Tribolium castaneum: one gene and its partners. The protein of the gene in region 3 interacts with the protein of the main gene of each other region in a biochemical or structural test. Links are inferred from orthologs where the notes say so. Each region holds a gene or a part of one and is shown on either strand. Other genes may lie near its edges.

Evidence for each region.
Region 1: the proteins of Pink1 (region 3) and BAG family molecular chaperone regulator 2 form a complex in vitro, tested with the Homo sapiens proteins (2 studies listed by BioGRID). The link is inferred for Tribolium castaneum from reciprocal best matches to the Homo sapiens genes PINK1 and BAG2.
Region 2: of the proteins of Pink1 (region 3) and park, one has a biochemical effect on the other in vitro, tested with the Homo sapiens proteins (12 studies listed by BioGRID, with this or other methods). The link is inferred for Tribolium castaneum from reciprocal best matches to the Homo sapiens genes PINK1 and PRKN.

What each region holds. Positions count from the first base shown.
Region 1 is NC_087396.1:11,144,898-11,148,009, reverse strand, and holds BAG family molecular chaperone regulator 2, read left to right. Parts: upstream 1-1,418; 5' UTR 1,419-1,600; coding exon 1,601-1,634; intron 1,635-1,710; coding exon 1,711-1,935; intron 1,936-1,982; coding exon 1,983-2,332; 3' UTR 2,333-2,536; downstream 2,537-3,112. Other genes in the region: hop (tyrosine-protein kinase hopscotch), read left to right, coding at 1-395, 450-619, 665-847, 896-1,031; beta-mannosidase, read right to left, coding at 2,541-2,795, 2,844-3,044. UniProt on the Homo sapiens protein: Co-chaperone for HSP70 and HSC70 chaperone proteins. Acts as a nucleotide-exchange factor (NEF) promoting the release of ADP from the HSP70 and HSC70 proteins thereby triggering client/substrate protein release.
Region 2 is NC_087398.1:11,672,259-11,676,606, forward strand, and holds the start of park (E3 ubiquitin-protein ligase parkin), read right to left. Parts: upstream 2,877-4,348; coding exon 2,616-2,876; intron 2,567-2,615; coding exon 2,201-2,566; intron 1-2,200. Other genes in the region: protein FAM32A, read left to right, coding at 3,015-3,224, 3,279-3,401; alpha-1,3/1,6-mannosyltransferase ALG2, read right to left, coding at 3,411-4,348. UniProt on the Homo sapiens protein: Functions within a multiprotein E3 ubiquitin ligase complex, catalyzing the covalent attachment of ubiquitin moieties onto substrate proteins. Substrates include SYT11 and VDAC1.
Region 3 is NC_087398.1:3,464,649-3,468,846, forward strand, and holds the start of Pink1 (serine/threonine-protein kinase Pink1, mitochondrial), read left to right. Parts: upstream 1-1,247; 5' UTR 1,248-1,433; coding exon 1,434-1,720; intron 1,721-2,227; coding exon 2,228-3,347; intron 3,348-3,400; coding exon 3,401-3,499; intron 3,500-3,551; coding exon 3,552-3,758; 3' UTR 3,759-3,990; coding exon of another isoform or gene 3,991-4,133; 3' UTR 4,134-4,176; coding exon of another isoform or gene 4,177-4,198. Other genes in the region: protein brambleberry, read right to left, coding at 1-386, 437-697; zinc finger protein 346, read right to left, coding at 3,991-4,133, 4,177-4,198. UniProt on the Homo sapiens protein: Serine/threonine-protein kinase which acts as a sensor of mitochondrial damage and protects against mitochondrial dysfunction during cellular stress.

The DNA of each region.
Region 1 (3,112 bases), on a different chromosome or scaffold from region 3:
TTGATAGCATCAATTCGTTACAAAGTATACTTGAGTTGGACCAAGACTGTAGTGTAGTTTTGCAAGGGAGGATTGGGCAAGGGTTTTACGGGGAAGTGTATAAAGGAACTTTGGAATATCCCGGAAATCCTGAAATTGAACCGAGAATCGTGGCAATCAAAAAACTGAAATCGTCAACTGTGTCTGCGTGTTTGCAAGACTTCGAACGGGAAATTAACATTATGAAGACTTTGCAGCACCGGAATATTGTTGAAATTTTGGGGGTTTCCCGGGAACCGGATATTTCCCTAGTCATGGAGTTCGTCCATCATGGCTCTTTGCAGAGTTATTTGAAAATCAATCGAGAGTCGTTGCAAATTAAACAGTTGTTGAAATTCGCGCTTGACATTGCTGAGGTTTGTGGCCTTATTATTTAACCAACTTATCAAATAACATTTTTTATTGACTAGGGAATGAATTATTTGGGCAAGAAAAACATCGTCCATCGGGACTTAGCCACCCGGAATATTTTGGTAGCTGACGAAAACCACGTCAAAATCTCCGACTTTGGCTTAGCGCAAGTCATTGGCACTAATGACTATTACATCTTGAAAACAAACCGGGAATTGCCGATTAAATGGTAATTAGCGAAAAATCACGACTTGAATTACTTTGGTCTTGTTAGGTACGCGCCTGAAAGTTTACGAGACGGCAAGTTTTCCGTGCGTTCCGACGTTTGGTCGTACGGTGTCACAATGTGCGAAATGTTCAACTGGGGCGAAGAGCCGAAATTGTCGAATCTGGGAGAGGAGGAAGTCAGAGGTCAAGAGCAGCAAGTTCTCTTGAACGCCTTGGAGAGCGGGGCCAGGTATTGGTCCGTTGCTGACTTCGTTGGTTTTATCGTTGCCTTTTATAGATTTCCGTGTCCTCCAATGTGCCCACAAGCTGTCTATATACGGATTATATATCCGTGTTGGCACGCGGACCCCCACGAGCGGCCCGCGTTTAGCGTCCTCGTCCAGGAAACGCAAGACCTGCTAACGCAGTATTGAGTGATATTCAGTGCCCATGCAAGGGTGAGCACAGGAAAGAGCACCACTTTGTATAATCTTTTGTATTAAGTTATTCACAAACGCCTATTTAAGATCAAGTGTTAGATTTTAGTTTAAATAAGTACCTGTCGTTTTTATTATTTGCTCAATTTATTTGGAACAAGCACTTCTCGTGCCATTTCTCAGTGCAATCAACTTGTAAATATGTATATTCTATATTTTAAAATAAATGTTAATTTAAGGTTTTTTGCATCATTTCGCTGGACCATTTGTCTCTTTGAACAAATGGCCATTCGGTTTAAAAAAATGCGTTAAAAGCCGCGAATTAATAGCGATAAACATTGAATAATGGTAATGAAAGTACAATTAAGCAGATTTATGGTGTTTTGGGGCGTTTTTTATTGTATTGATTGCGTTTTTCGAGGCGGTTTCGAACTAGTGGGACTAAGGAGTAATGGAACTTTCTAGATTTTGAATCAAATGACCAATGAGTTGTTCCTGTGCTGAATCAAATTGATTTAAAATTATTAGATAAACTGGCGTCAACCAGCAACGATAGCTGCAACAGAATGGACATAGATCCATCTCCGAGTACTTCATCCGGTAATAAATCCTTCTTATCAATATGTTTTTAGGTTATGTCAAAATTTTTGTGTTTGACTAACAGCCCGAGTTTCAGGCTTCTTAATGGATCTGACGTACTCAGGATTGCCAAGGATCGATGAAAACAACACCGTGGATCCCAAATCGCCCAAAGAGCGGGTTTTAGAACTGTTAGATATCTTAGAAAGTCATGTTGAGAAGTTGCGGAGGGAAGCGGCGCAGTTGGAGGAGGACCGGGACCACTTGTTGTCATCCCTGGACTCGGTTAGAAACACTGATTTAATAGTCGACTTACCGGATAGTAAGTATACCAAAAGTAAAAGTCGTTCGTAATTAATTATTTGTAAGATGATAGGGATGATGTTTGCCAGTACGCTGAGCGCATCATGAGCCGCTGCCTCACGGTGGAAGTGAAGATTTTAACTCAGCGTGATAAGATGCAAGAAGAAGCCTTGCACCAAGTGAATCATTTGATAGACAGTCTTGTAATGTGTGTGAAATCGGATCCTGAAAGTGCAAAAGCTAGATGTATAACCTTCATGAATGCTTGTTCTTCGAATGTGGTGCACGGGATCACGGATAAAAAGTTCGAATCGGCTTTGTTAGGATGTACCGTTGACGACCAAAAACGGGTAAAGAAACGGCTTCAAGGTTTGTTAAATTACTTTGATAAACTTAATGTAACTTCGATTCCATAAACTTACTTAATAGTGCGTTGTTATTGATTGTGGCCCGCTTATTGCCATTATATACACATTAAATCGTTAGTATTTAACCAATTGAGTTGTCTTCATTACGGCTTTAATACAACACAGTCGTGTTAACTTAAAATAGCCACTGTGATTGTTTAAAAGACACTTTATTTATAATTGATGAATTAAATAAAATTATTAATTCATGTATTACTTATTTCCGTGAAATAAAATACTTAGGGTCTCTTAGATGAGTCACTGTAAGCGCTTGTTTCAAATCTTCGCTTGTTGTTGGTGAATCTGCTATAAAAGTGACTGTTGTAACAAGAGAGTGTTGAATAAAACCGTTTTCAAGAAAGTGGCCTTTAATATCGTGCGGGTCCAACCAAACGAAAAGACTAGGGGCGTCGGCTTTCACCCACACGTGGAAGCGCAAGCCTTTCGCGTCAATCATATCAACTGAAATAATCTAAAACAAAGCTAAAGCTCTTATCGGTTAATCCCCCGGAAAAATTACCTCAACATTGGAGTTTTTAAGTTTAGCTTCCTTAAATTTTGAAGGGAAAAAGTAATTAGACGGGGTCAAAACTGTGCCGTCTTTCCCACCAACAATATGCACAAAGCAGTTGTATTTTGCTACATCTGCAGCGCCACACCCGGAATCGGACAAAAATTGGTCCACATCGTATGATGCAACTAGTCTTGCCACCAAAGGCTCCTTCAAAATGCATTAATCACGACGTTTTCTCAATTTTAAAATTTCTCTCAAGGTCCGATTGGTTCGCA
Region 2 (4,348 bases), about 8.2 Mb from region 3:
TAGCGGTTTTATCAAATTTGAATTCAAAACATGTGTTAAAAAAATATTTTTATTTAACGTCGTTTTTACCGTGTTCATCATAGTCGTTCTTAATTTGTGTTTTAAGAGCAAGCTAAACTAAAATATTTCTAGCGAAGGTCGTTAAATCGATCAAGTATTTTCTGTTACCAAACGAAACTGTCTATCTTTGCTTTTGTACGCATCTCACGCACAAACAAAATATTATTGTAGCGCTTTAGTAGATTCCCGTTGAATACATTTTTATCTCAAAAAAGGTAATATTAAAAGAATTAAAAATTAAATTTACCTACTTATGTGCTACCTACTAGTAATTTCTATTGACACTTAATTAAAAGAAATGATTTAAGACAGGTACAAAGATAGAAAAAAAAGCAGGTAAAAAAGGAGAATTGAAAAGTTATGGTAATCCAATTGTCTTTGTTTATAATTTATTATTAATATTGTAATCTAATAAAAAATCTAAACTATTATTCTTGTGTGTCGTTTTGATTATGGAGCGATTCTTACTTATTTTTACATAATTTTCTCTTCCTTATACAGCGTTCAAAATGATGTTGCCAAACTTTACGGTGTTATAGAGGTCACTAAGATAGAAATGTTTTGCTGATAAACGCTGATAAATGAGCCGTTTTGCCTCTAGAGTCATGTCTTTGTCCAGAAATGATTACATTCAAAAATTCCCATAAAACTTACGTTTCATAACGTTATTTCAATAAATTGTCAAAATACCACTGCCTTATTTCATGTCAGTTTGCTCTACTTGCGTTAATGTTTGATAAAAAAGTATTTTAAACATGTATACATTTGTCAGAAAATAACAACAAACATCTATTTTTATTTTTTTTGAATATTGATTAATTTTTCCGGCGCATCCACCATTTTTTTAATTTGCAGTTTGTTAATAGTAAATTGTTTTACACTTGTTTTTCTTATATTTTCTGTACACTTGTACATTTTTGACTAAAGTTATTCAAAGTAGTATTTGGAAATGTTTAATTTGATAATTTCTCCCGGCGCATCCACCATTTTTAAAACGCTGTCTTGTTCACTTTAAGACACCAACTGGTGTCAAAAGGCGGTGGTGTGTGCATGTGTTGTTGTCATTAAGTCATTGTTAATTCCATCTTTTAATGTTTACTTCCAAGAATTTGAACGAGTAAAAAGCCTGATGATGTTTATTACATTAACTTTTAACTAAACTTTTTAAGGAACTTGGTCTTATCGTCGTGAATTTTTTTAAAATCAATCAGTCAAGGACGTTTAAAAAATTTTTATTATAACAATTTTTACACAATACTAGAGATTTCATCATTTCAATTTGAAACAGTTGTAAAATTTGGATTTTTTCAAGTCACAAGACATTCTACTTTGAAGCAGATTTTTTTTAAATAATTATTTCTTTTCAGTCCTATAACTCGCTTACGGGTAGTCCTATAACAAAAGTGCATAGGACCAATTTTTGTAGGAAATTTCATCAGCTTTAATTTTTGTAAGAAGGTGAAAACCGACAATGATTGTTTCCGTGGTATAAGAAATAAAACGAAAAATGACACACTTAACCCTCTCCCCCATCTCGAGCTCAGCCTCCATCCTCTGGGATTTTTAATATCTGTCTATCTAAAGAACGCGTTTAAAAAATTCCAACTCACTAGGAATTTTTGCCACCAACCGCCCAATTCTTGTCTGGTCTAACTTGACTGGGCTAGATACCTGATTTATAGCTGGAACACATTTTCTAAAAATGTTATAGAGACCCTCAGTAGTAACCCAAATTTCAAATTTAGATTTACATTCAATAAATTTGGTAACTGTAGAAAATTTTAACTTTATGATAGAAAAAGAAATTTAAAAAAGTATCTGAAAATATTTTGGCGTATATTGTTTTTAATTGTCTTCAGCGACTTTTAGTTTTTAAAATTAACATTGATTTCCCTGTACCAGAATTTCGGTTTAGCTCGCTCTTATGGTGTTAATGAATCTGCTGCTTCTAGTTAGGTGAGCGGACATTACGATTGCAAACATTTTAAAAATTTTCGCAATGCTCCTTAGTAAGCGTAAATATTTTTAACTTTAAATATTTTGACTATAAACATTTTAAAGGAAAATTAAATTTTGTCCAGTACTATTTTTAGTGTGGAGTGTTTTTGACTAATTTCAATTAAATAATTAAAAAACGTACGTTGGCGCACAATTCGGGGCTATTCTCACAAAGGCCGGTTATCTGCTTTGGCTGCAGCACATCATTCCAGTTTTGGGGGTCTGAGTGCACCGTGAAAGCCCCCGATTTGCAAAAGTGGCACCGAACTCGCAATTTCCCATTTTTGAGGGCTTTACACGTGGGGCAATAGACAAAAAAGTGGACTTTGCGTTGCTCGGTGGGCCCTTCCTCGTAATCATCGTTTGAAAAACTCAAATCTGATAAGGTCTCACACAGAGGTTTGCCCTCGTCACTTTCCTCAATTACGGCATTGTTTAAAGTGGGAGGGTTGGGCTTTTTGGTGATTTTGATAGCGTGGAGGGTGCTTTGTTGGCCCAAATCACATTCCTAGAATGACTAACTGGTTACGACTAGTGGTATTGAGGGCAAAACTCACAGAAATACTAATGTTGTCTCCCAGCTCTTTTCCAGCGAAAATAATCTTTACCTCGCCTGGTTTCAGTCCCAATTGGGGCGCAACGAACTCTTTCACCTCTTTTATGTCCCAGGTGGGGTCCAAATCGACCGAAAGCGTATTCCCTGTGTTGGTTTTTATGTAAATACTCAAATTATTGCTCAGCGTTTTTCTACTAAATGACAGAAATTGTAACATCTTATGCAACAAATCTTTAATTACGTTGATAATAAAACTCATCATCTGTGGTAACCGCGGCCGGGCTTATTTTTAGAAAAAAACATTTTTTGTGAGGAAATTTCATAACCTCATTCTTGGGGATTGTCGATCCGTTACGTTGGTTGTTGTGTGAAAAATTCCAGAAACGTCAAAACAAACAAGATGGGGCAAAGTGACGACCCATACGCACAAGTTTGCAAGGGAAAATTGCAATTAAAAGGTGATAACAGCATTAAAAAGAAAAAGAAGAAGAAAGATAAGAAGTTGTTAGAGCAAGTGAGCAAAATTGTCGAAAGTGAGACACCGGAATCAAAGCCTGCGAGGCAAAAAACAAAAGCCGAACTTGCGTTCTTAAAACAGCAAGAAAAAATGGTAAATAAATCACATTTCGTGTTAAATTTGTTGCCTGATTGTTACAATTTGCAGCAAACTCAACGCATCTTGGAAAAAGCGTCAATGACACACAAAGAAAGAGTAGAAAAATTCAACCAACACTTGGACGGGCTCACGGAACACTTTGACATACCTAAGGTCTCTTGGACTAAGTAAAATATTTATTTAAATAAACTTCTTATTTACACTAGTGTGATCAAGGATTTTCTTCAAATTCCTTGCAAAACTCTCATTTGAGAATTTCTCCTGCAACACTTTGCGCCCCTTGAGCCCCATTGCCTTGTTATCCGACTTGAATATCCTGTACATGAATTGCGCTAAACTGTCGGGGGTCGGTTCGCATAAATAGCCCGTGTTTCCGTGGTCGACTGTCTCTCGGGGGCCCCCACTGTTGCACGCAATGACGGGCTTAGCCACCGTCATTGCCTCGAGGGGGACAATGCCGAAGTGCTCCTTCACGGGCGTGTAAACGAGGCAGTCACACGCCATCAGAAGTTCCGTCTTGACGTCATCGGGGGGCGACTTGAGGAAAATAATCTTGTCTTGGAGCCCCTTCTCAGCGACGAGTTTCTCCAAGTCGGTGAAATAACTGGCGTTTATGGACGATTGGGGGTCGTAGCCCCCGGCCATAACCAAGAAAATGCCTTTACGTTCATTTTCCGAGGTGATTCTTTGCAAAATTTCCATCGCATTGATGGCCAAGTCCAGTTTCTTGGCGGGATGGAAGCGGTTGATGGAGAGGAAGACACAGGCGGCGTTTTGGGGTATTTCTGGGATTATTTGGTGGATTGGTCTGGGGTTTTTGGTGTTTTTGACGGCTTCTAAGAACGAGGAGGCCACTGTGGGGTACACCACTTGTACAGTCTTTGTGATTTGGGGGAAAGTCTCCCGGAAGACCGAAGCCGTGTACTCACTATTCACTAGAATGATATCAGCCCGAGCTGTGGACTTTAACTCCAACCAGTTTATGGGCTTCCTGTAGAAATTTTTTAAGGCCCCCCCTGGCGCACTGGCGAGCAAGTCCGGGTGGTGACAATAATAGATAACTTTTTCGCCGAATAATTTCAAAATTGGCACAGCCATAGGGATTAAGTCCACAAAGT
Region 3 (4,198 bases):
AAAATCTCGTGACCTTGCGCTAACGAACTGAGCGTTTGTTCAGCAATGTCGTGCAGATCTTGCTGATTTTCCGCGATTTTCCCGAGGGTTTTGAGTTGGTCTCGGGCCGTGTCCATGAGTCTGTTTATGGAGTGTTCTGCCATTCCGCGGAACTGCATTTGTCTGATGGTGTAGCAGACGGCTCTTGCACGGTTACTCATGAGGTGGTAGCTCGTCCACGTGTCCGAGTCCATGCTTCCGGTGCAGTCGCGGATGCTCATGTCATCGGTGCAAGGAAAAATAGGGCGCCCTTCAACGTACGATTGGCAGTTTAGGAGATGTACTGCCATTTTAGCCAGCTGCTCGTCGTTCATCTTATCGCAATCAGAGCGTAGCTTCAGTACCACCTGTTCTAGATAAGTTAGTAAGGGTTGCAAATACAAAAAACCATATTTACTCTTTGCTGGCATGAATCTAGCTCTGATAAAGCTACACCTGTGAGCTTGGCTGCCTCTGATATGAATTTTTCATCGACTGTGGACACTTCGTAGGGAATTCGTTGGACGAATTCACCGACAGAATCACTTTCGGGTTCGGTGAACGTAAAATAACTTCCTATTGTTTTTACATAATCGGTGAAACCTGTCTGAACTTGCCAAGTTTTGAAGAAAAGTAAAATTAACACTAAAATAAAACTAGTACAACTGGGGAACTTCATGGTGAATAAATAATGACTAGGGATTTGGAAAACTTAACGGAAAGTGATTGTATTTGGCGAAATTTAGCTTTTTATCACTGATTTTAAATTCATTGTTGACAGGTGTCAACTGTCAATAATAACCGTTGATTCTTTTTTTTTCCATGTGCTGACATCTAGAACAGATGAAAATAAGGCACTGTGCGACTTTTATTACGCAATTATTTATTTAAAATTACCCCTTCCTAATAACTTAGGCTAAATTTAAAACTAGGACAGTGTATATTTATTTAAACTAAACATTTATAGACCACTATTTTTTCAAACAATCAACGCGCCATCTACGGGCGAGACTTGCAGTTTCATCAAGTATATAATTTTTATGATAAATTACCCTACTTTCCGAAGCATAACACCAATTTGGCTTATTTGAGTAAAGTTTTAATTATCTTAAAGTCATAACTTAAGACGCAAAAAGTTTAAAAATAAATTTTATGCAATTGTGGCGTATCTACGACTTGCGTCGGTTCGTCTCTCTCTTTTTAGCTTATAAAATAGACAAAGACGCTGAGCAGACGCCTGTTGGTGATTGGGCCAGATTTCCCGAGTTTGAAAATAAAGATGGCAGTCGTGCCTCAAGGGGGCGAAATGTCAAAGTGCGGAATTTTTCTCTAAAAATCAAATTTCCCGTGTGTTTTTTGTGTTGATTCTTCTCCGAGTGCCCTGCTGAGGGTGCCGTCCCTCCACGCGGTACAAAATGTCCGTACGCGCCGTCGGCAGCCGCTTATTTAAACATGGTAGAAGTCTTATCCAACAATTCTGTAAAAGAGACCTTAATACCACAATTGGCGACAAAATTAATGCCGTTTCACAAGCAACAGCAGCCCCGTCTTCGTTGCCCAAAACCCAGATACCCAAGAATTTTGCGCTGAGAAATGTGGGGGTCCAGTTGGGGCTGCAGGCGAGGCGGATTCTGATCGATAATGTGCTTAATAGGGTCACCAACAGCCTTTCGGCCGAGCTGAGGAAGAAGGCCACCAGAAGGTAAGGATAACAATATTAAAAAAATCAAAGTTGGCTGTGACAATCAGTGACATTGCATAAACAAAAATGTGAATTTTTGCTTTTTTTTCTTAATTATTAGCAATTTACGAAAGGCAGAGTGTTAATTTAATTGTGATTTATTATCATCATTTAAAAAACCACATTTAAAAGTGGTGCTTTTTTGTGTTTTTATTTAACGCAGGATGGCTTCAAGGCCTTCTTTGATTTTAATTCAGTTTAGGATAATTGCTGGTAATTCATTTGTTTTAATAGTTACGTCGATACATAACATAAAATTCTATTGTTATAACTTAATTACATTTTCAGTAAACACAATTTTGATAAGACTTGTATTAGGAATTTGAGCTTTAATTTTTTATTCAAGCTAATTTTATCTTTGATGCAACAATCAAACGTGCTATGTAATCACGCTTTATTTATACATATGTATAATGCTATATGTGGGCGTGGTCACGGTGGGCGTGTCTGAACTTTTTCATTTTCCAGGATCTTATTCGGCGACTCCGCCCCGTTTTTTGCCCTAGTGGGCGTGAGCATAGCTTCCGGTACCGGAATTTTAACCAAAGAAGAGGAACTTGAAGGTGTGTGTTGGGAAATTCGCGAAGCCATCTCGAAAATCAAATGGCAGTATTACGACATCGACGAAAGCCGATTCGAATCGAACCCGATCACTTTAAACGATCTCTCATTGGGCAAACCGATAGCCAAAGGCACCAATGGCGTGGTTTATTCAGCTAAAGTGAAAGACGACGAAACCGACGACAACAAATACCCATTCGCGCTGAAAATGATGTTCAACTACGACATCCAATCAAATTCTATGGAAATCCTCAAGGCCATGTATCGCGAAACGGTTCCTGCGAGGATGTATTACAGCAACCACGATTTGAACAATTGGGAAATCGAGTTGGCCAATCGGCGGAAACATCTGCCACCGCATCCCAATATCGTTGCCATATTTTCCGTTTTTACTGATTTAATCCAAGAATTGGAGGGTAGTAAGGACTTGTACCCCGCGGCTCTGCCCCCGAGACTCCACCCCGAGGGCGAAGGCCGGAACATGTCGCTGTTCCTCCTTATGAAACGCTACGATTGCAACTTGCAAAGTTTCCTCTCAACAGCTCCATCAACCCGCACATCGCTCCTCCTACTCGCCCAGTTGCTAGAAGGCGTGGCTCATATGACAGCTCACGGCATAGCACACCGCGACCTCAAATCCGATAATTTGTTACTCGACACCAGCGAACCCGAAAGCCCCATTTTAGTCATCAGCGACTTTGGGTGTTGTCTTGCTGATAAAACCAACGGGTTGTCGCTCCCTTACACGAGCTATGAGATGGATAAGGGTGGCAACACTGCATTGATGGCCCCCGAAATTATTTGCCAAAAACCGGGCACTTTCAGCGTCTTGAATTATTCCAAAGCCGACTTGTGGGCCGTAGGAGCCATAGCTTACGAGATTTTCAACTGTCATAACCCATTTTATGGCCCAAGTCGGTTGAAAAACTTTAATTACAAGGAGGGGGATTTACCGAAATTGCCCGACGAGGTGCCAACTGTGATTCAAGCCTTGGTGGCCAATCTCCTGAAGCGCAATCCCAATAAGGTTGGTAATGATTTTTTTGTTTTTCATTAAGGGTAAATTATTTTTCAAAATAGCGTCTCGATCCGGAAGTTGCGGCCAACGTTTGTCAGTTGTTTTTGTGGGCACCTAGCACGTGGCTAAAGCCGGGCTTGAAAGTACCAACAAGTGGCGAGGTGATTGTCTTTTGTTTAGGTAAAATAGCAATCGTCATTCGTTTGTTTTTAGATTTTGCAGTGGTTGTTGAGTTTGACGACGAAGGTTTTGTGCGAGGGCAAAATCAATAATAAGAGTTTTGGGGAGAAATTTACAAGGAATTGGAGGAGGACGTATCCCGAGTATTTGTTGATTTCTAGTTTTTTGTGTAGAGCTAAGTTAGCAAATGTTAGAAATGCGCTTCACTGGATTCAGGAAAATCTTCCCGAACTTGATTAAACTTAAGGCTATTTATTGCGAGGTCGAGGGCTGTTTTAGTTAGACACATGAGACTGCTAGATTGTGATTATGGTTAGTGTTTCTTTCTATAGATTCGGTTTTATAGAAATAAAAACACTTGATTTGTACATTACTGCTATTACTCACTGAAATATATATTTGGGTTTAAGAAAAGTCGTTTCAATCGTTCAACAATTTAATGGTAATAGAAATTTGGTAACAATGAACAAAATTACTGGCAAATCACTTTAAACAACAACAATAAGTTAATAAAAATACAAACGACACAGAAGAGTAAGATCCACAAGCCAGCGGTTCCTGTCGCGTCCGAAATGAAGTTTTCTTTTTTCATCAGCTTGTTCTTGTGTTTGATGCCTGTAACGTCTCTCATCATTTCGAAACTCAACATTTGACTTACTGTTCAAGTGGATGTTTAGCTG